Linked DNA regions of Schizosaccharomyces pombe. The main gene of each other region encodes a partner of the protein of the gene in region 4 in a complex. Each region holds a gene or a part of one and is shown on either strand. Other genes may lie near its edges.

The links.
Region 1: lsm2 (region 4) and lsm1 share a complex: the UniProt entries of both Schizosaccharomyces pombe proteins name them as parts of the heptameric LSM1-LSM7 complex.
Region 2: lsm2 (region 4) and lsm8 share a complex: the UniProt entries of both Schizosaccharomyces pombe proteins name them as parts of the heptameric LSM2-LSM8 complex.
Region 3: lsm2 (region 4) and lsm7 share a complex: the UniProt entries of both Schizosaccharomyces pombe proteins name them as parts of the heptameric LSM2-LSM8 complex.

Annotation. Positions count from the first base shown.
Region 1 is NC_003423.3:1,281,939-1,287,894, forward strand, and holds lsm1 (mRNA-decapping complex subunit Lsm1), read right to left. Parts: upstream 3,279-5,956; 5' UTR 3,147-3,278; coding exon 3,083-3,146; intron 3,035-3,082; coding exon 2,966-3,034; intron 2,918-2,965; coding exon 2,802-2,917; intron 2,725-2,801; coding exon 2,551-2,724; 3' UTR 2,400-2,550; downstream 1-2,399. Other genes in the region: pig-A family phosphatidylinositol N-acetylglucosaminyltransferase subunit Gpi3, read left to right, coding at 816-912, 973-1,052, 1,108-1,385, 1,429-1,544, 1,588-2,387; DNA polymerase epsilon subunit Dpb4, read left to right, coding at 4,205-4,377, 4,510-4,628, 4,667-5,007; AP-endonuclease Apn2, read left to right, coding at 5,468-5,956. UniProt on the Schizosaccharomyces pombe protein: Component of the cytoplasmic LSM1-LSM7 complex which is involved in mRNA degradation by activating the decapping step. The LSM1-LSM7 complex loads onto the 3'-end of single stranded RNA.
Region 2 is NC_003421.2:2,274,664-2,279,875, forward strand, and holds lsm8 (U6 snRNP-associated protein Lsm8), read left to right. Parts: upstream 1-3,214; 5' UTR 3,215-3,238; coding exon 3,239-3,263; intron 3,264-3,317; coding exon 3,318-3,486; intron 3,487-3,549; coding exon 3,550-3,640; downstream 3,641-5,212. Other genes in the region: ubiquinone biosynthesis protein Coq11, read right to left, coding at 1-535; exosome subunit Csl4, read left to right, coding at 4,670-5,212. UniProt on the Schizosaccharomyces pombe protein: Component of the nuclear LSM2-LSM8 complex, which is involved in spliceosome assembly. The LSM2-LSM8 complex plays a role in the biogenesis of the spliceosomal U4/U6-U5 tri-snRNP complex by accelerating prp24-mediated annealing of U4/U6 di-snRNA.
Region 3 is NC_003421.2:1,813,631-1,819,424, reverse strand, and holds lsm7 (U6 snRNP-associated protein Lsm7), read right to left. Parts: upstream 1,060-5,794; 5' UTR 1,002-1,059; coding exon 952-1,001; exon of another isoform or gene 898-951; coding exon 606-897; 3' UTR 501-605; downstream 1-500. Other genes in the region: nucleoporin Nup60, read left to right, coding at 1-308; dsc5 (UBA/UAS domain-containing protein), read right to left, coding at 1,853-3,028, 3,216-3,323; SPRY domain membrane protein, specificity factor required for ubiquitination Ear1, read left to right, coding at 3,942-5,090. UniProt on the Schizosaccharomyces pombe protein: Component of LSm protein complexes, which are involved in RNA processing and may function in a chaperone-like manner. Component of the cytoplasmic LSM1-LSM7 complex which is involved in mRNA degradation by activating the decapping step.
Region 4 is NC_003421.2:2,142,177-2,148,439, reverse strand, and holds lsm2 (U6 snRNP-associated core protein), read left to right. Parts: upstream 1-3,454; 5' UTR 3,455-3,515; coding exon 3,516-3,575; intron 3,576-3,628; coding exon 3,629-3,730; intron 3,731-4,082; coding exon 4,083-4,185; intron 4,186-4,243; coding exon 4,244-4,269; 3' UTR 4,270-4,491; downstream 4,492-6,263. Other genes in the region: wtf meiotic drive antidote Wtf23, read right to left, coding at 1,182-1,288, 1,339-1,401, 1,442-1,633, 1,670-1,948, 1,998-2,327, 2,544-2,679; putative signal recognition particle subunit Sec65, read left to right, coding at 5,109-5,331, 5,385-5,761; U5 snRNP-associated protein Prp18, read right to left, coding at 6,174-6,248. UniProt on the Schizosaccharomyces pombe protein: Component of LSm protein complexes, which are involved in RNA processing and may function in a chaperone-like manner. Component of the cytoplasmic LSM1-LSM7 complex which is involved in mRNA degradation by activating the decapping step.

The DNA.
Region 1 (5,956 bases), on a different chromosome or scaffold from region 4:
AGTGGATATATGCTCAATGTGAAATGGAGAAAATGGTCTTGAATCATTGTTGAATAGATTGGTGCAGATTGATTTTAATACTGTAAACTGTCGTAAACTACTGTTTCATCCAATTGTCTTCACCTATAGAATTATTTTTTTTTTTAAAAAAAAAGCAACTAAGGGCTGCAGAACGATTTTGACAACTCAAGCACTTCAAGCGATACTTCCTCCTTCTCAACATTAAATAGCTTGGCAAATATTTGTGAGAATAATTTGCCGTAAAGCAGCCTCTCTCAAAGTCTTATTTAAAGTAAACTTAGGGTGTTCTTATACGTTAAAGAATTGTTAAATCCTACTCTGTTTACTTCTTTGATGTCAGAACACGATTTTAAGTCATTGCTTTTCATAGAAATTAATATGTTTATTATTTAACTTTCAAAACACTTCTGTACCTCAATTGACTGTGAAAGGCTGATTTCATTTGGGACTAATTTTGTTGTTCTTACACTCACCCAAATTTCTAATAATATGCCATTGAAGAGTAAACAACTCCCAAAGTAGATTAAAAAAAACCAAAAATTTCTTTGAATGAATAAAAAAGTTTAAAATTCATCTAAAATGGGATACAGGGTCGCGTATGTTTTGAAATGCAACTTTCACAATCAATATTGTTTGTTAAGGAGATTTTCTTAGTACAAAATGAAGCCTATAGCATTTTTTATTTTTTAACATTCTTATGATAATATACTGGCTTCAATAAGCTTCTATAAATCACCTTTTCTCTTAGATTGAAATCCCAACGTTCAATAGATTGCTAACTTTGTATGCTTAGAATGGTATCAGACTTCTTCTTTCCTCAACCTGGGGGGATTGAAAGCCATATTTTTCAGCTTTCTCAAAGATTGATTGATTTAGGGCATAAAGTAATTGGTATGCGTTTAGCCTTATGATAATGTCAACTTGTACATGCTCTAACATGCATTATATTAGTTATCACACATGCTTATAAGGATCGAGTTGGCGTCAGATACTTAACTAATGGGCTAACCGTTTACTACGTGCCGTTACATGTAAGTTTTTAATTGAAATTTTGATCGCGCATAGCGTTGAAACTAAACAATGCAGACTGTGTATCGTGAAACAACATTTCCTTCCTTTTTTTCCTTTTTTCCAATTTTCCGCAATATAGTCATTAGAGAAAATATCGAAATAGTCCACGGTCATGGCAGTTTATCCTTTCTATGCCATGATGCTATTCTGCATGCTCGTACAATGGGCTTGAAAACTTGTTTTACCGACCACTCTTTGTTTGGTTTTGCAGATGCTGGCAGCATCGTTACAAATAAGTTATTAAAATTTACGATGAGCGATGTAAATCATGTTATTTGTGTCTCTCACACTTGGTAAGTATCTCATGAGCAAGTATTTAAATTATTAACTAAGAAGCCGCGAAAATACGGTGCTTCGTGCAGTTCTAAATCCAAAAAGAGTATCCGTGATTCCCAATGCCTTAGTAGCGGAAAACTTTCAGCCAGACCCATCTAAAGCTTCAAAAGATTTCTGTGAGTTTTTTCGTTTATTAAGGAAAAAATCTAACATTTTTAGTAACCATAGTAGTAATCTCAAGGCTTTACTATAACAAAGGCATTGATCTTTTAATCGCAGTTATACCCAGAATTTGTGCGCAACACCCTAAAGTACGATTTGTTATTGCTGGCGACGGACCCAAGTCAATCGATTTGGAACAAATGCGAGAAAAGTATATGTTACAGGATCGCGTTGAAATGCTTGGTTCTGTAAGACATGATCAAGTTCGTGATGTGATGGTCAGGGGTCATATTTATTTACATCCTAGTTTGACCGAAGCTTTCGGCACTGTTTTAGTTGAAGCCGCAAGCTGTGGTCTTTATGTGATTTCTACAAAAGTGGGAGGTGTTCCTGAAGTCTTGCCTTCCCACATGACACGATTCGCCCGTCCTGAAGAGGATGATTTAGCTGATACACTTTCGAGTGTTATTACTGATTATCTTGACCATAAAATCAAAACCGAAACTTTCCATGAGGAGGTTAAGCAAATGTACTCGTGGATAGATGTCGCGGAAAGGACAGAAAAGGTTTACGACAGTATATGTTCAGAGAATAATCTTAGACTAATAGACCGTCTAAAGCTTTATTACGGATGTGGGCAATGGGCTGGTAAGCTATTTTGTTTACTCATAGCTATAGATTATCTTGTAATGGTTTTACTAGAATGGATTTGGCCAGCATCTGATATTGACCCAGCGGTTGACCGCGTATCCTCTACTTTCAAAATTTCTAAGCAGAACTTTGACGAATCTCTGGTATTAACGGACCCCAAAAAAAAGACAAAGATAAAAACTGCATGTTTAAAAGATGCACAATGATTACTAAACTTTGAACGAACGGTAATGGGATTATGACGATTCATGTCTTAAAAATTACATTACATCCATTTAAAAGGGGAATAAACAGCGGTCGAGATAGCTTTCTATCGTGACTGTAAACAAACGGTATAGCAATATTGTGATAAATTTGTTCAACCGTTGTCTAATACAAATCATCATGTCCGCCGTCAACACTAAAGCCTACAGAATGAAGGTACTTGCCCTTCTCACGTATATTTTTCTTCTTCTCTTCTTCATGAAGCTTCGCCAAAGGATACAGTTCTTCAGCAGGCATACGTCGCAATTGTTTGACTGCATCATACTCCTTATCCAAATCCTTTTCGAAATATTTAGCCCACGTTCAAAGAAATTTATAAAGATGCTCGAATATTTTATGTTACAAACGAAACTTACCAATTCACCTAAAAGCACGACGTTCTCGCCCCGAACAATATACACACCTCTGTCTATGTCCCCGTACATATCATCCACATAGATCCTCTCAATCGTGTATTGCAACATTAAATTTGCTACACAGTTAGTAAACTCACTTATGCGCCTATTCACGCAAACCATACCAAATTGATCAAAGGACCTTAAAATTCCAATCAGTTTTTTTCCATCTCGTAAAACAACAATCACTTTTCCTAAAAGGTAAAGTTAGATCAAGGAAAACATTGGAAAAAACACCGTACTGTCTACGTAGTCAACAAGTGACCCAGAAGTTGTGAATGGGATAATCTGTGTAGCTTGATTCATTCAGCTATTATTTGGATGTAGCATAAACTAATAATTTAATTTAGATTTAACTTTCTATTTCTTTTATAAACGCCTGATGACTTTATTTGAGTGTTTTCCTTAAAAAACGAGTTCGAGGAGATGGTTAGAAGCAAGTGCTCTGAGGTCGTCAAATCTGGAATCCTAAATTCTCCCTGTTTAACCCTAAAAGTGCTTCTGAAGTTTAAATGTTATTCGTTTGTTATGTTTTTTTGCTAATTGTAAATTAAATTATTTGGTTTTTCCATTTCTAAACTTGCCCATCATTGAATGTTGTAATCTGACTTTCTAGTTATAAAGGGAAGTCGGTCTTCACAAAAATTAAAGAACAAAAACATGTATATTTTTGATCACAGATTGTAAAAAGGGAATCTAATTATACTCAAGCTACCTAACAATTTTTCAGCATCATAAGCGGATTAGTTCATTGAAAGGCTCAACATTTTGCGAAGAACAGAAATAAATAATTTGATGATTTTTATCAATTCCAAAATCGAACTTGTAAAAATGTTGCCAATCCCATTTGTAATATCCCTATTCTGAGCTATTTCGACTGAGAAGAGATTGCCTATTATTCTCTTAGAACGTTCATTGAACGTTTTTGGAGTGTTCTGAAAAAAGATAATAAATTTAGTTGTTTTTATCTATTAATTACAATCAAAAATCGAGCCTTTAATAATGTATTGTATGGTTATCAAAAAGCTTTATTTATTTCTAACAACGCTAAAAAACTTTTTTTTTTACTCATTTAATATAAACAAAACAGTACAACTATTTAGTTTTAAGAAATTTGATAGCATTTCTACAAATGTTTCAACTCTAAGGCTCTCTCGGATTCTGCTCATAACGCACAGATAGTGTTTAGTGAAAATTGACAGAAATAGGCGACTCAGTGAATTTATTATACATTAATTAGCTAAAAAGAAGCAACCGCCTTTCTCTGTGATTATCGTTTGGTGACCATAGGATGATATTTGGATTGGATTTATAAAAGACTTGTATACAGCGTTTGTAAAAGATCTAGCGGCTGGAAAATCAATATGAATCAAGATAAATCGAAAGAAACTTCCGAATTGGATGATCTGGCGCTTCCTCGATCGATCATTATGCGATTAGTCAAAGGTGTCTTACCTGAAAAGAGTCTTGTACAAAAAGAAGCTCTCAAGGCTATGATCAATTCAGCAACTCTTTTTGTTAGTTTTCTAACATCCGCGTATGTAATCTATATAACTATATAACCATATTGAAGGGCTTGTATGATGAAAGAATTTATTATATAATTGCCAATTTTATTTTCTTCTGGAAACACTTTGTATATGAATGAATAAAGACTAACGTTACTTAGTTCTGGGGAAATTGCTACGAATAATAACAGAAAAATTCTTATGCCTCAAGACGTTTTGAATGCGCTCGATGAAATTGAGTATCCAGAATTCTCTAAAACGTTAAAAAAACATCTCGAAGGTATGTTTCTTACTCTGTACTTCTTCTAACTATTAAAGCATATGAGCTTGCCTTGAAAGAAAAACGATTGAAACTCCCTAACGTATCAGATGTTGATAACAGAAAGAAAGCCAAAATAGACGCGCATGACACTACTCCTCTAGATGAAGAAAAAGACGAATTAGAAGAAGAACGAATTGCGGAGGATATAGCACAAAATGAAGTTGAGCAAAATATTGATGATGTGGAGGACCTCGAAGAAGTGAATGATACATTAGACGCAAACGCAGAATCTCCTCAAATAGAAACCATTCATCTTACAGATGCTACGGGAAACCCAATTGAAGATAGCTCTGAATCCGACTCAGAAGAATCTCTTCAACTTAATGATTCTTCGTAATTACTGTTGGTTAAATGTATATGAAGATTGTCAATAGTCCTAACTTACATGGAGAGCTAATCATATTTTTTTACACGAAAAACTAAACCTTCTTTATTTTTTAATGGATTTTTTGGATACCTGTTAATACCCCAATTTACATCCTTGTATCCAAACATAGCTTTTTTAAACAGCAGTTTGAGATAATGTCTTTCTAGCACAACATGTATACTCGTTTAATGACATATATTTAGAAAGAATCATTAGATTGTTTACAGTTGTAACTCAATATTAGTCAATCTAGAATTTTTTTGAAAATCAACATTCAATAGGGAGAAGGTCGAAAAGAAAAGAAAAAGTTCATTCTCGAATTAAACAAATGCATTTTATTTTCCATCAGATTAACTTATGTCAACAATTGTAAATTCAAAAGTCTGTCGCCTTTACCTTCGCACACTTTCTCTACGTAAAAATTATAAGAATGCGAATTCTAAGTTGGAATGTGAACGGTATACAGAATCCATTCAATTATTTTCCATGGAATAAAAAAAATTCCTACAAAGAGATATTTCAAGAGTTACAGGCTGATGTAATATGTGTTCAAGAATTGAAAATGCAGAAAGACAGCTTTCCTCAACAATATGCAGTTGTTGAGGGATTCGACAGTTATTTTACATTTCCTAAGATCAGAAAAGGCTATAGTGGGGTTGGATTTTATGTAAAAAAAGATGTTGCTATTCCAGTGAAAGCAGAAGAGGGAATTACTGGCATCCTGCCAGTACGAGGACAAAAATATTCATATTCAGAAGCACCGGAGCATGAAAAGATAGGATTTTTCCCAAAAGACATTGACAGAAAAACTGCTAATTGGATTGATAGTGAAGGAAGGTGTATATTATTAGATTTTCAGATGTTCATCCTAATCGGTGTTTACTGTCCAGTAAACTCTGGAGAAAATAGACTAGAATAT
Region 2 (5,212 bases), 130 kb from region 4:
CCCTTTCAGCTTCACGTTTCGTTTTTATGTAGCGGGGATCCAACCCGGGAGCCGCTGCATGAGCAGACACATAGCAATACACAGGGACATTAGCTTTGGCGGCAATCTTAGCTGTTTCAATAGCTAAATCTCGATTGATTGCTTCAAATGTAACTTTATTTTTAGATTGCTTTGCTTCTTCAGGTTTAGGTGCTAAAGGGTTTTGGCCAGTTTTAAACATGTTAGAGCTAAGACTATTGATTAAATGCGAAACTGGTCCTCTGGGATTCTGTAAAATCTTTTTATAGTTATTTTCCATAAGGATACCAACACTGTTCACCACTGCCGAGGCATCACGAAGAACAGGAAGTAATGAATTTGGATCTTTTTGAGCATCCAACGTCTCCCATTCAACATCATCCATCCATGGTTCTTTGTTATGCAATCCTCCAGCTCCTCTTCGGGATACTGAAACCACCTCGTAACCCTTAGCAATGGCTAATTTGCAAATATTATGCCCTAAAAAGCCTGAACCACCTAAAACAACAATTTTCATACTTAAAACGAGGGAGAAAGTAAAAATAAAATTATTTAAAGAATTTAAATCTTCAAATTAGACAATTTGATATAGGCCAGCCCAAATTATTATAAGGATTAGAACCCCAGAATTGTTAATGTAAGCTAACACCTCAAAGTTTCGTGATGCTTATTATTAATCTTAATAATTGAGAAACACAAAAATGCTGTCTCAAAATATTTTTAAAATTTCCTTTTACGAACAATGTTCAAAAAACCCTTTCAACCTGAGTAGTTAGTAAATCGTAGTTGAAGAGAATGAGGTAATGTGCTAGCTCAATAAGGAAGACCAAGAGATGGAAAGAGGTAATTAATTATCTTCTATTAGACTTATTAATTTATAAAAATATGTACATCATTTAATAAGTATGCAAAATAACCATCATTCATAATTGGAGTATTAGTAAAAGTTTGTCTTAAATGAGAGCGCTAAAAAAAATTAAAAATAAAAATGCTTTGATAATTTAGTCTTTAATTTTCTATACTTTATAAGCCATTGATTAATTTCTTAATTATCTTTGGATTTTAAATTCGTAATAATAAGATCTCAAATTCAAATACTTCATAAACCCATTTACAAATATGTTAGATTAATAACAAATTCAATTTTAAGCTAACAATAGAGCTTATGAATCATAATATTTATTCCGATAACCCTGAAGACACAATTTCGAGTTTTATGAAGTGTCTGAGAAGCCAGTTGATTGCTATTCTGTTCATACAGAAAATTTCGTGATTCATAGCAAGAGGAAAGAAAAAATCTCAAATTTTTTTTATTTTTTTTTAATTAATATTATTACATATTTAGTTGATCGATCAAGAAATCGTTGAGCGAAAGTATTAAATTCATATATTCTAAAACAATACACTGTGGTTTAATTTTATAAATTTAAAATAACTGATCGTTACGAGATCTATTAGAATTTTAAGTCTTCTTATTATTGATATCTACACCTTTTTTGTTTTGAAAATATATAAATCTTATTTTTTTTCTTTCATTCTAATCAACATCCTTTTTTTTTTTTTGAAATTGTTTTAAATCAAATGTGTATTTCATTATATTGTGACTGATAAAAATATGTTTGCGAAAGCAACATTTGAACAGATTGAGTAAATAGGCTATGATATAGTAAATCTTTAAATTTAATTTAATTCTCAATACCAAATAAATATTTCTTCAAAAAGGGTTACAAATAAATTAGCTATACTGTGGAGTATATGATATATCGATCCCCCTGATGTAACAAATATAACATATAACAATATGTGTTTAAGTATGAGTATATTCAGAATACATTGGAAATAACGAAAATCCAAATGAAACATTAAGCATAAATTTCTGATTTCTAACTTGCCCTTTTTATTTTATTTTATTCATCATAGTTGTCTACTATTCCAACACAAGTTATGATGTTAATGAGTTGCTAGAATGTTTATTTGCGAGACAGTAGTATAAATATCCTTTCGTAGCTGCTGTACGTTATAACGAACAACTTAACTTTCTTAAATTTTTCTCAATAAATACTTAAATTTACATTGAAGAATATAGCTGAAAATAAATAAACTCACGATGGCAATTTCTCAGCCTCTTTAAGTAGATTTGCTTTTATAGTCACTATGATCTACTGGTTTAGTTCTGTGTGCTGCTTCGTCAAAGTTGTAAGTCTTCGCTTAATTATTAGCGAAACTTTATTTTATCAGATAGGGATAATATCCAAGAAAATTGTACTACCAAGCTGCTTTGAGAAGATAATACAAGTACTGAGATGAGTGTAAAAAAGTGCCAAGGAAAACGAGCTGCGCCCTTTAACTTCATCTGTCTATATTCTAAATGCCACCTTTAAAACAAAAATCTAACTTGTCTTATAATGTAAAAACCCTAAAGCTTCGCACTTATGGTGACACATTTAGTACAAATTCTTTCTATTCCATACGTTCTTTGCTGAATAAAGAGCGAAGACCGTCCCCTTTATATTCGAGCCGTCATTAATTTTTCATTCAAAAACTAAGATAGTAAGGCACATCGATAACAATCTAAAGTTGTGAAAAAATTCTTATAAAACGGAATTCTTAAATACTTATTTCTTCCAAATTATTTAAGCAAACCTTCAAAAGAAGAATTATCCTTCAATGATTTAAACTCAACAACTATCAAATGAAGTAATTCAAGAATATAACTGTAGTCAAATATATACATCTATATTCCCCACGTCCATAAGATTTGTATATTTGTTTACAACGGGTATTTTTAGTTAGAAGAACGGTTGCTTGTAATGATGAGGAAGGATTCGTGAGCCGGATATAGCTGGAATAATGTTCAATACCTTTTCCTTTAATAGATCTATTTTACAAAATAAATTTCGTTGATTAATAAAACAAAAGATCATTTAAAAATCGTGCGCTTCACAAATTACTTTAATTTTCTTTTGACACAAGATTGTGTTCCTTTCCAAACTAAAAATATAATTGGGTTACTTCTTATATTGATAGCAAAGTTAGCTTCAAAATTTTAAGACAAAAAGGTGTTTTCAATTTGATTAGTTTATTAAAATTCTTGATTTTTTTGTTTTTGCTGTATGTTTTATAAAAAGTATCATGTCACTTGAAATACATGCTGTAAGACTACCTACTTTTGTTTAGCACTACCATACTGTAATACAACTAATACTTAAATCACTTTATCATGAGTCTTGCTGATTTTATGGAACGTAAGTGTCAAATTTTCAATAGAGAATGAAGTGACTAATATAGATGTTCGTTAGAAAGGGTTCAAGTCATTACAAACGATGGTCGCGTTGTGCTAGGTTCCCTGAAGGGATTCGATCACACGACCAATCTTATACTTTCAGACTCATTTGAAAGAATTATTAGCATGGATCAAGACATGGAAACAATTCCTTTAGGCGTTTATTTATTACGTGGAGAAAATGTGTAAGTGGACGCAGAGCCTTGTACTGGCGGTACGTAAATCAATAATCTAATAGTTATTTTTAGAGCAATGGTTGGATTAGTGAATGAGGAATTAGATTCAGAAATAGAATGGACCAAAATTCGAGGTGAAGCAATACCTGACGTTGTGCATTAATACAAAAACCGGACGTTAAACTTCAAATGAGAACAAACGTTTAAGGCTACATAGGATTTGGGTTAATGATTTTTTTGTTATATTTCCTCTTTGTGCGGGCGAATCCTTTGCAAATTTTGTTAAGCTTTCCACGATATATTCATACCTTGCAGCATGTCTTTTATCAGGAAGCTATTAGCTCGTAGAAAGAAGTGAAAATTCTTTCTTTATTTTTTTAAAAAAATATGACTGAGGTTGTAGATTAATTCTGATGACAAAGAGTTGACACTTGAACGAAAATACTTAAAAAAATGGTTTAAAATACCGAGTTCGAGGACATCGGTTCTTTCAGAATTTAAAAAATTCTTGGTTTCTTGTTAAATTTGTGGATCACAAACTCATTTTTCTTCTTATTTTGTGGGTTTCATCTTTCTTAAATGATTCTTGGGAACGTTAACATACCTTTGTTTCCTTAATTTGATTTATGCACTTTGATTTTGAAATTTGTGGTCAACTTGTTTAAAGACTTTATATTTATCATTGATTTTTGTTATTATATGGAAAAAAACATCACAATTTATATCATTTACTGTGCATAACATTCTTCATTTTTGCTGTCACGCTTAATGTTTACACTGGAAAATTTCTCTACCTTGAGAAATATTTCAGCATCATGGTCCAATTTACAAAGATCATTTGAGTTAAACAAAAAAAATGATTTATTATATTTGCTGCTCATATTTTTTTTTTAGTGATTTTTTATTTTGGCATCGTTTTGTGAACTTACTTTCCAAGCTTTGGGATTATCAAGAAAAAATTTTTGTTGAAAGAAGAGCAGAAAAACTGTTTGATAATTAAATGCCTTTGCAATTTCATTTTCTCAATTTAGCAAAATAAACTGAAATTTCTGCAGCAGTGACTTTAGGTTACATTGTAACCTACAGTTTACAACGACCTTTGTGCTTACAGCAACTTTTTTTCAATTAATTTTTTACAGCCATACAAAACGGACTTGATTCCTTTATTTTTAGTTTATTAAAGCCGTTAAATATGAATTTGGTTCTCCCTGGACAGGTGGTCGCGAGAGGGGCTCCTAACGGTGAAGGAACGGTAAAGAGAGGAGATTATATTATTTCCACACGAACTGGCATCTTTGATCCAGAGAAAAATTCTGTAACGTACCCAAGAAAAGTTGAAGAGACAGCCGTTTTACCTAATGTCGGATCTATTGTTTTAGCTCGCGTCAGCAGGATCAATGCTCGTCAAGCAACTGTAAACATCTCAGTCGTTGACGATGTCTGCACCAAAGATGAATTTCAAGGGGTAATACATGTGCAGGATATTAGAGCTACTGAGAAAAATAAAGTCAAAGTGCAAAATTCATTCCGACCGGGTGATATTGTCAGAGCACTTGTAATTTCACTTGGAGACGGCTCTTCGTACTTTTTAACAACAGCTCGAAATGATCTTGGTGTGATTTTTGCTCAGTCTAGTGAAACAGGAGAGCAAATGTTTCCGGTGGATTATCAGCATATGCAAACAAAATCAGGATATACGGAAATGCGTAAATGTGCTAAACCTATATTAGACGAA
Region 3 (5,794 bases), 330 kb from region 4:
AGATGACGAACGTTGCTATTGATCAACGGAGTTTTGAGCAAGCTGAGAAAAGCCCTATCTCAGTATCGGAATCGACTTCGCTAGTTGAAGTCGAGAAACCCTCTGCTGAGGGCACGAATGAACATAAGCAAGATGCCACTATGACGCTCGAAAAAACTGACAAACAAGGTTCCCTAGAAGAGGAACCTTTTCCCAAGTTTTCGTTCACGGTTTTGCCAAAAGAGAATGGGGAGAATCTCTCTACAATGGAAAGCACCCAGGAATTACCTAAATTCTCATTTTCAGTTTTGAAGGAAGAAAAGAACTAAACTTTTTGGCATTAATATACTTTTATTCAATGGCATATATCTATTTAGACTAGATAAATTATATAGCAATGTGATAACAAGCTAACTGGGAATAAACATGGATTAAATAATTTAAACATATGCGTAGAGAAAATCATCTTAATAATCGAATTTATTCTTTTAAACACATATTGCTTTTACACTTTTCCGAATTGGGTCTTTGAACCTTCAAAGCAAAACATGCACATGCGGTATAATAATTAACTTGTAGTATTTTATTAACAATAGTCAAACATCAAATGAAGGGCTTGTGGCTTTTTATTCAGCTTGGACGAATGGATTCGGTATCTCCTCAGAACCATCCATGGGAGCAATCAAAACTAAAGTTGTTCCACGAACGACTACAAGACCTAACTTTCTAATAGCTCCAGTAAGTTTACCATCCTCAGGATTGCGAAGCTGTTCCTCTACATCGTCAAGTACAAGGTTCATCAACTGATCGAATCCTTTTAGAATACCGGTAATTTGTCGGCCCCCCGTAAACGTGGCTTGAATTCGTTGATCTTGATATCTAGAAAGATCAAGGATAGATTCTTTTCTTGGTCTTTCACTATTTAAGAAAGTTAGCAAAACTCATGATGCTGCTCGTTCCTGCTAGACTTACGTCGGTTGACTAGAGTTACCTGGGCCAGGGCGTTTTTGAAGACTGGACATTCTTTGTATCTAGAATAACCAGGTAAATTATCAGCTATTGCCCAGAAAAGAATAAAGTACAGGTTCAACTTGACGATTCTCCTTTTTACGATGATTGTAACGTGATCGAACGTATCCTTATATGGTTCAATTTGAATGACTTAAGACATAGCAGTAAATGGAATATAAAACACGCTACAGAAAGGAATGTAAAATAAACTTGCTCAGTCTGAAAGGAAATAATTTCACCGCTTTACTTTTCCAATTTTGTTAGAAACGTTGAGAAATTCCATGCTTGGGGTCATAATGCTTGACATAAAGTGAATCTAATGCACTAATTTGTATATTAATTATATAAAAATTTAACATTAATGAAAGTTTAAAGGTAAAATTTAAGCTGTTTAGAAACAAAGCCACTAGACTTTTTCGAATTGCAATAAAGAAAGATTTATATTTTAAACAAATTTATGTTCATAATACATACCTCACTCATCACAGACGAAAGCTGGCAAAACTTTTATGCTACAAAGCCTAAATTACTAGCCTTTGTCCTCCATTGCAAAGAAAATCGTAGAAAACAGAGATGAAGATGACATGCATAGAAAAGGTTTTTGGCAAAGAACAGAAAATCTAGTGGAAATCGACTATGTACTCAGATTAAAGGGTGCATTGAAAGTTTGCTCAAAATAAAAAGTCAATGCGTCCAGTAGACATTCATGCCATAAACAACAATTAATTCAGTAGTAGAAATAGAAAAGAGAAAATAAATTCATCATACATCAAATCTTAGAAATGTATTTAAAAACGGATTCGAAACGTCGATAGTCGTAAATTGTCATTATGATTTAAAAAGACAAACAATTTTGTTAATTTCAATCATCCAGCTCCACCACCACAGTGCCATTTGGAAAGATGGCTTTGTTAGTAGAAATAGCCACTGATGGTTTCAGCAAAGCTCTGGGCAAAGAAGAATATAGTTGAAAATGAAAATCATGCTTATAGTCACTTGGTGGAGTGACCGGATTAGAAGATGAAGTAGCGCGACCGAATTCTTCAGGCTCCTCTTTTTCAAAAAGCATATAATCCACATAGTTGTAAACGGATTCAACAGTATCATCCTTCTTAAACCTTCGAACAGCCCGAGATCCGTCGGGAAAACGGATCGAAAGACGAGCAGGTTCATCTTCAGATGATGGCTCCGGTGGAAGATTAGAAGCAAGCCAAGCACGATATTGTTTTTTCTTTTTCTGAACGATTTCTCTTTCTTCTTTCTCCTTTGCAAGACGCTCTTCTTCTGCTCTCGCGAAAGCTTGACGCTCGCGATCGCGGGCAAGGGACGCTTGATAGGCATTGTCTTGTTGACGTCGTAACTCGCGAGCAGCTTCTCGTGCTTCTCTCTCCGAACGGAAACGCTCAAGAGAAGGAAGATGTTTAGCCAAAGCATTAGTTAGATTGGTAATGATGCTGGAACTATCAAGACATCCATGGAGTTGGGCGGCAACTACAAGCTCAGATAGCTGAGGTGAATACATAACAAGGACTGCGGAGGGAAATTTAGTGCAGTGGAATTGACGAGAACCTCGGAAAGCCTCATCCTCACAAACATCACCAGTCCAGCAAAGAATGTTTCGACGATTTAAAAATTCCTTTAGCTCTTGGTTCATAAGAACACTCCTGGAAAACGTCTCAGAGTCATCATTCTTTGAGCTAGTAAAGAAAAGCAATGCGACTCCATAATTACGCTTAATACGTGTCAACGCTTCCATGTAGCCGCCATCAGTAAAAAAATCAATATGCTCAGTACCGTATTGCTCTTCTAAATTCTGAACCAGCTTGTTCGCAGTGTCTGCAGGAGAAAGGACACGCTTAGTAGTACCAAAAATGGGGATAAATGTTGAAATCAGAGGAACCCTTGACAAAATCATCCATAGTTTGTGCAACCCACTGAATAGCAAAGAAAAAACAGATTGAAAGACGCCGAAACTTAATCCAAGCTTTGAATTTCTATCGACTCTTGACGATTCTCCAGTTAAACTCTCGATCGCTTCCTAATCATAAAACAGTTAGCAAAATGGCTCAGTCCCAACATTCACCGAAAATTCGATTAGAAAAATAAACGACAACCAGAGGATTCCATGAATGTTCAGTTGCAAATAACAACTTTCTTGGAATTTTTCAATCAAAGCAATTGATCACTATCGAATACTGAAAATGAATGCTTGCCGTGTCACATACCTGAACGTCCCAATTAAATGATTCCAAAACAGATTGAGCAGTATCAGCAGGAACATCAAGAGAGTTCCTTAATTCGTCTATTGCTTCTTGTTTTCGAGACCCTGACATGGTAGGTGTTGTTGGTTAATGGACGGAGTAGTATCCATGTGGCCTTTACGTGGTGCTTCGTAACCTTCCTTTTCCCATTACCATCTGAAATCCGGAAGCAAACATTGAACGAATCAAAGTAAATTTTCGAATAAAAATTTGGTTAATTCCAATCTATGGTTGTAAAAACAGAAAACTTATAAGCATAATTGTGACGGAGCAGTATTATCTGGTAAATTGCCGCTGATTTTCGATTTTACCTTACAACAGGCCATTGTGGCTCCTTCAGGAATAAATTCTTTTTTATCTTAAGAATTATATCTTATTTATTTAAAGGAGTTTGTATTTTCTCCTGTAAACTTGAAACAAGTATACCATTTCGCCCAATCCTTGAGCATTCGCAAAAACCATATTAGTGCAATATTTGAGATACTTGCATCTACGTTAGATTTAAATATTGTATCTCGTGCTTAATAAACTGCATATCTGAGAGAAAAATCCTTTTTCTCTTAACCCTATACTATATCCTCTTATAGCTAGGATTTTACTCTCAGTTATTTATTTCTCTATTAAATATACACTCGCAGATTTTCCTTTTTCAAATCTTATATAAAAAATTATTTTTTGCGTCTTTGAGTCATGCATCCCGATCAGATTCGCCAGTTGAGATTACAGGAATCTTCAAACACCCATCCTAATTTAGCAATCCTTTTCATATTTATTGCATTAGCCGCTGTCATTGTTCTTTTAATCTGTCTTTTGTCAGTCATCTTATTACTGCGATACACACGACATGGACGGATCTTGCTGAAAAACACCAATCCTGGTGAGTTGGACGACGAAGCGTTAGAGAATGAACATATTGATGAAGAAGGATTTAGTTTATTGGATGATATGGGGAAAGAACGGTATTTACAAGCTCGTGAGTTTGAGTTGAATTCCATGAAATCTAACGTCAACACGGATGCAAAGCTGCTTGACTTCCTACAAGTTCAAGAGAAGGGCGTATTAGCATGGCACTTTATCCCAAATCAGGAATATAATTGCTATGTTAAAAATAAAACTGAATTGTCTTTTTTGGGCAACGAAGAATGTTGCATGCAAACCAATTTGCCTTTGCAGAGGATCAATGAAGTATACTATTTTGAAGTAAAACTTTTAGACGTACCTATTGATACCTTGGTTTCCATCGGTCTGGCTACCAAGCCATATCCGCCGTTTCGATTGCCTGGTTGGAATTTTTGGTCTACTGCTTATGTGTCGGATGGAACACGCCGCAGTAATTCACCATTTACGGGAAAACCGTACTCCTCTTTCTACCAGCAGGGAGATGTAATTGGTGTTGGTTACAAACCGAAGTGCAATCGGATCTTCTTTACACGTAACGGTCGTCGGTGTGCAGAACTGCCGTGTACATATCGAAATTTGTATCCTACGGTTGGTGCAATTGGACCTTGTACCTTACATGTCAATCTTGGACAAGCAGGATATGTATTTATTGAAGCAAACATCAAGAAATGGAGACTCGCTCCTGCGGTTGGAAGCTTGGCTCCTCCTCCGTCGTATTCTACATCGCAGCCAACTATTAGTTGGGATGCAGCTAGTGAGTCTTCAGCGGGTACAACAACGCAGGGCGATACAAATAGACCCGACAAATCGAAAAATAGGTCACCTCCAATAAATTTTGATGGTACCTCGTATGATGCGGCTGGTAATGTTTTCAGTCCATCATCATCCAACAATCAAGCTTATCAAATGCACTCCATGCCTGCTACCGATGAAGTATAAGGAGTAATGTATAGCTTAGCACTAACAACCTTCACGCCAAAACCAAAGATCAAGTTGTGGAAATGTTTGTGCGTTGTGTTTCAAGTTAGTCCTAAAATCGAGAAATGCACTTTGTATATGAATTGAAGGGGATGTGTTGATGTTCAATGTATTTATTTTCTTTATAATAATTTCTTCAAAATTAGTTATAATTATTAATCTTAATTAAATTTACTCTATGTTTATTCGCTCAATTAATAAAAGGTTATTCACAATTTATTATGATTTTTCGTATAATGTTGCTATTGAGTCTATACTGTTAACATCAACCTTCATCGAATTCCGCTGGTGAGAAGTTTTAACGGAGGAATTCATAGGGTTGTCAATCCTGATAATGAAAGTGTAAAAGGAAATTTTCGAAAGCGCTTTTTTACATTTCTAATTTTGCGTAGTGTCATAAAATGCAATTCCTGGTAAAAACAAAGCCGCTTAATTATTAGTCTTGTTATCTTTTGCTGTAATAAAAGGAAATCTACCTTTTTATTCCAAAGGAACAAATAAAGCAATTCGATACTGCAGTGTGACATTCTTTGTGAGTAAAAAAAAAAGGGAGTAAAACAGAGAACGTATTCAAGTAATATTCTGAGAATTGTTTCTATTTCAAACTTTTATAGCAAGTTTCCAATATGCCTTTAGGTATAGACTTAATTGAAAAAAGACCGATC
Region 4 (6,263 bases):
TAATTATATATCGTACCATGTATGATACGATATGGAGATTGATCTTAATGATAATCTATTAAGATCAATATTATCTGAATACTATAAATAGAGCTACTGCTGAACCTCGTTCCTCAGTTCAGTTATGAGCTATATTAGTGATAGGTAACATTATAACCCAGTTAATACAATACCTATACTCAGTTGCTACTTATACAACCTGTGTATTGTAATATAATAGATCACAAGGAAAACTCACCGCAGTTCTACGTATCCTTAAATCAGATACCAAACTGCGTAGCTTACATACCGATGCGTAGAACTGCGGTGAGTTTCTCTTGCGATCAACAATATTGTGGTATGCAATATGATAAATTAAACAATGTGATATTTATTGTTATAAAAAGTTTATTAGTATCGGTCGCCGATATAGCTAGTAACTGAACCGGGGGAACGAGGCTCGGTTGTATATCTATTTTTTAAAATCCCTCTAATATCTTTTATCAACGTGTATATATGTATAAGGTGTATAAATGACTGCACTTACTAATAAACTAATTTTAAGTATATTCTAACATATGACATATAGTGCTACGCAACGCAGTATATCGTAGCGTAGTAAAGTCTGACACGCTACTATAACATTTCATCTCTTCAAACATTATATTATTATGCTATTCATTATTTTGTAAACATTAATTTTGTTTGAATTGAACCATTAAACAAAAAGAAAAATGATAATTAAGCTTGATTCATTAAGAATCAAGATGAAGGAGAAATGAATGCAATAAACGACAATGAATTTGTAAATTTAACAAGGCGGAACAACGAGTTTTTCGATTTCATTAGTTGATTTTAAGTTGTCGTAAACAATTTAAACCATTATTGTTTGTGACTTGAGTTCCATTAGAAAAGACACATAATTAGACTCGCATATAATAAATAAGAGATTCGAATCTCAATGCATATTATCCAGATTATCCAACATCGCGAACCATTTCAAGCGATGCATTAGTTTGACAATTTTTGGTAACTGGAAGAATGAGTTAAGCATATTTTCCATAAACTTATAGTGAAAGATGATGATTAAAGAATGTTGGTGCTTATGTTTTAAAACGCCGCAGCTTCTCTGCGTTGGTGATTTTCGTAAAGAGGTTTTCCAGCTGTAGAGACTTTCGAAAGCACAACTTTAATAATGCAATTTAAACTTCGCCTTCGACATCCATTTCCCCCAAGGGAATGTTATTATTATTATCGTTGCCACCTCTAAACGCATTTGCTAGCCCCATCATCGCATTTCCTATCCCTCCTAGTCGGGTAAGTAAAAAATCATTCATACAGTTGGTTGAATACACATACCTAAAATAAAAGCTATACCATTCCTGATAGAGTTTCGTGTTCTTATGAGTGCACCTGGACATTCTGGCATGGTTAGAGTAAACTTCAAGAATATTTAACGAACCCATTTCGCAAAGAAAAAGAACATTGCCCATAATAAATAGCACAGAGGCTTCAATTTCACAACCTGTCCATTCAAAATGTTTACCACGTAAAAACATCGTACCGTTTAGTACCAACACGATACCACTTTGTAACAAAAACACTTTTGCCAACTTAGCTAACGTACGCTCGAATGTCCAAAATGGAATACAAACTGTTTGTCAGCGTTTAGCATTGTAACTTCACTTACCAGATGATACAATTAAAAGTAAAACAGCCGAAATAGTGCATGTGGAATAGATGAGAGCCTTATTTAAGTTCAGATCGCCAGATTTGACGCAACCAAAGAGTATACAACAAATGATTAACCAGAGTAACCAAATTATAATCATCATTTCTCTTCTTATGTTGAAAAGGCCAATAGAGATCACCTTTACACATTGTGCCAAGAAAACTACAGTCACCTTTATACATTGTGCCAAGAAAATTACAGTTACTTTGACTGCCTTGATCCAAGTTTCATAGAAGTCTAATGAGTTAGTGACTGAAGGTAAGAATTGACCTATCGTGTCACTTACACCATAAAGAAATAAAAATCATTAGGCAAATAGCACACCACACTCCAAAATATACCCATTCATCTTTGCCATAATCTTTAAAGAGAGCGTCCTTATACGTTAGATAACAAACTGCGGGTACGTTTAGCACAAAGATTGAAATGAATGATAAAAATGCTTTTTTCAACGGAGAGGTAGAAGAATTATCTGCCGTCCCGGAAGAATGGTTTTCTCTATGTGTAATAGAAAGACTGTCTTCACCATAATCCGGAGGAGTCGTAGACTCGTCCGTATTAAATAAGTTAGGGTTGTTAGCTCCCATTTGTTTGGGATCCTTTAAATTTATATTTTCTATATTGTTAGCAAAATTCAATGGTAACTTTAGAATATTTTTTAATGGGAAAGGAAAAAAGAGCGTGCCCTGTTAGACGAATTTATACTCGTAATATGTCAAGTTGTAAACAAACAAACACAACAAAAACATTGTAAATCAAAACAAACAGACACAGCAAATAATCCTTGACACACTCAATTCTTTATCTTATCTACCAACAACACAACACTTACCTGAATATGGAGGCAATGTGCTCCCATCTTCTGAATTGTATTCTGGGAGAGGACCTTTTTCCAAATCAATTTCATTATCGTTTTTTGCACTCAATTCATCCATAGACGACCTCAAGGGGTAATATTTATTCTTCATTTTCTAACGACAGTCTATTATTTAATGATATACACACAAATAGTTCAATTGTTGTGATTGCGACAAACGAAACAGCAAAATCAAGAATATTCACTCTGTAGTCCAATTCCAATCGCTTTAAAGACTTTTTAACAAAATAATAAAATTGTTCAAACAAATTTCCAACTAATTCCTTCAAACAATGGCATAAAAAAAGAAGAACGAAAAAACTGAACGAGGCAGTGAATTGCTTCTGACACATTTATTTTGTCACTGCCCTTTTTATTCACCCCAACTTAGATTTCCTTAAAACGTTTTTGAGAAGCAAAACGTTGTAGTATAATATAATGTCAGCTACGCAATTTGGTATCTGCTTTAACGATTACATAGAACTGCGGTAATTTTTCCTTTGTGACCTATGATATTACAATACACAGGTACTATAAGTAGCAACTGAGTTTAGGTATTGTACTATCAAGTTGTATTGTTATCTATTGCAAATACAACTTATAATTGTGTAAGGAATGAGGTTTAGCAGTAACTCTATTTACGTTGTTTAGATGATTTGGATTTTAATAGATTATTGTTAAAATTAATATCAACATCGTATCATCTGCGGTGCGATATGTAAATGGAACATGTGAACATATAGTGACACTCAACGTACTGTATCATAACTAATCTCGGTGACAGCCTTAATATGATTTTTTGATTTCGTAAATCCTCGCAAAAAAATGTACGAGCTCCAACACAATACCGTGTAAATGGGCTTTGCCTGTACATGACACATTCTTCTGTTCGCTGCATCTTTCTTACTTCATCCAAAAGCGTGTAAAACGAGTCTTCTCCCGATTATAATGTTGTTTTACTCATTTTTTAAGACATTAATAGACACGGAAGTTACCGTGGAATTGAAGGTATGCCCCTACTTGGCTTTTTTGATCGCGTTATGAGGTTAACCAAACTATAGAATGATATGAGTATCCGAGGAATTTTGAAATCTGTTGACCAGTTTTTAAACGTTAAGCTTGAAAATATTTCTGTGGTCGATGCGTCGAAATATCCTCATATGGTATGCTTTGCAAGTTATCGGGAATTGAAAGAGAAATAAATGATTTCTACGATCGGTAGGGTTCGGTTTATTCATTTTATTTAGGTTTTTGATTGATTTTTGAAAAAAGTCTTGTCCAAATCGATTATGTACAACATCTTACATGAGAGGAACATGAATCAATCAGCTTTCCCAACGTATATGCTACATTCTCAACTTTTAAAATCTAGGTTTTTCATTAATTGAACAATTTAAGACTGATCATAAAGTGCGCCTCACTTTCTGAATTCTTCGATCTATCCTTTTTTTTTCGTTCCTACTCTTAACACTATCTCGTGCTATTATTCCAGAGTTATAACTAATAATTTATTAGGCTGCTGTTAAAGATTTGTTTATTCGTGGTAGCGTTGTTCGTTACGTCCATATGTCAAGTGCATATGTTGATACTATTTTATTAGCTGATGCTTGTCGTAGAGGTAAGCCATGATTTGTTAAACACTGAAATTTTAGCCTTATTAACTCACTGGTTTTTAGACTTGGCTAATAATAAGCGTCAATAATTCCTTTGAAAATTTCCTTTTTTTGGTCAATATATTCGGAAACCGTGAACTAATTGCTTATTTAATCGTAGTTCGGTTATTCATCATGTGTCCCATTGCGATTTTTTTCATGCCCGCAAAAGGAATATACATGTGTATATACATCATTTTATTAAGGACCATTGTTGTTTGAAGGTATTTTCCTCCCCTTTCATTCATCCATATTCTTACTACCTTTTCGCTTTTCTTTTAAATCCAGCTTCCCTATTATGCCTGAAACCGATCCCTTAAAATTACCGTTTTATTATCTTCAAAAAAAAAAATTAAGTAGAAAATTGTTGGCGTTTACATGATTTTTGTGTACGGCTTCTTCCATTAATATAGTTGATGAGACTTTGTCAATTATCATAAAATACATACATCGTTACATATCGGTTTATTGCTGCGAGAGGGAATTTTTAGCACTCATGCATCATTAGCAACAGAGCGTTTGTATTACTTTAAAAGATATCCACTCAGATTTGTGTTTTACAAGTCTAATTCTTCTTCCAATTTATTTTACTGATTTCATTTGTAGGATTCAACCGATCTCACCTTTAAGCCAATCAGGCACACTCTCTTTCATCGTTTTTTTAATATATTTTGTATTCTTTTAAGATCTTCCCAGTGAATGATACGATTTTACTTTTTTAGTGTTCTTAGTTTTATTCTAAGTTAATCATGAAAAACGTCTTCTTTTTAAAAATAATTGAAATGTTCAGTAGTAAGTTGAAAGTAAAATCGTATTTATCTACTACATACGGTTGAGCAGCATAAGTATGATATCGCATTTGCTGCCAACTACCTCACTCACCATCCACATGCCATCTATCATATTATATCCCATTTACTTTGACAAGAGCCGTCCACGTAGGTTTCGTTGTGTACCAAAAGACAAAGCAATTTTAAATCCGTTAGCTAAAAATATTGCCGATGTTGTTCGCGATTTGGGATATAAATGTAAATTGGAACCATTGAAGACACATCCTGCAGATTGGGTCAATCCAGGTCGAGTCGAAATGGTATTACCTGAAAAAATACAAAGTAAGATTGTTATTAGTTTTATTTTCTCGTATGCTAACTGACTGTGAATGTAGAAAAGTATGTCATAAACGAAATCGCCAAAGTACTACTTCTTCGCCCAACTGTTAAGACAGATCCTTTATCGTTACCTATTCAAAATGTTCCCGCACGTCTTCCTGAAAATCCTCCTGCATATCCTAAGGGGGTTTTAGGAAATACGATTTTACCTCTTCATTCACCTGCTTTATCTGGCGGTGGTATCTCTGAAAATATGTTCCAGGAAATGATGCAGGAAATGCAAAAGCAACCTGGATTAGCTGGAGGTATGAATCCAATGGCTGCACTTGCTGGTATGGGAGGCCCTGCTCCTCCTATGCCAACTCCCCAAGCATCTTCAAGCCAGCGAAAACAAAAGTCAATTGAACCAGAATATGATTTGGATTTGGAGTAAACTTATTGTTTAAAACTGAAATATTAGGAATATAGGTGCTTTCGACTATTAGCAAACGCTCATGGATATTAGTAAATTTTTTTTCTCGTCATCTTTTAACAAAAAATTTTTTCCTAATAATGAGTATGGATGTAGAGTTTCATTAAAGATGAGTTCATTTGCACAGCACATTCTGCTTTTTTAAGACTGAGTTCTGGTGGCATACTTAATATTTTTCTGTCTTTTATAAATGTTTCGCCTCTCGTTATATCAGAAGCTGTTTCATTGTAGTTTCTTTCATGCCAATTCAGAGGCGAAATTTTTGAATATTCTATCATTAGTAAACCATGTTTGACATAGTCGTTTTCAAAAGTTTAGTGTGAACTGTATAATTAAATTCTTTTTCGACAACAAATAGCATCTTTTTCGTACTTCAATCCGTATATTCAGGTAAGTTTGATGACTCTCTTTCCTGAAAAGTAATAAATCGCTTTAAAGCTTGCAAACACTAACATGTGAAAGG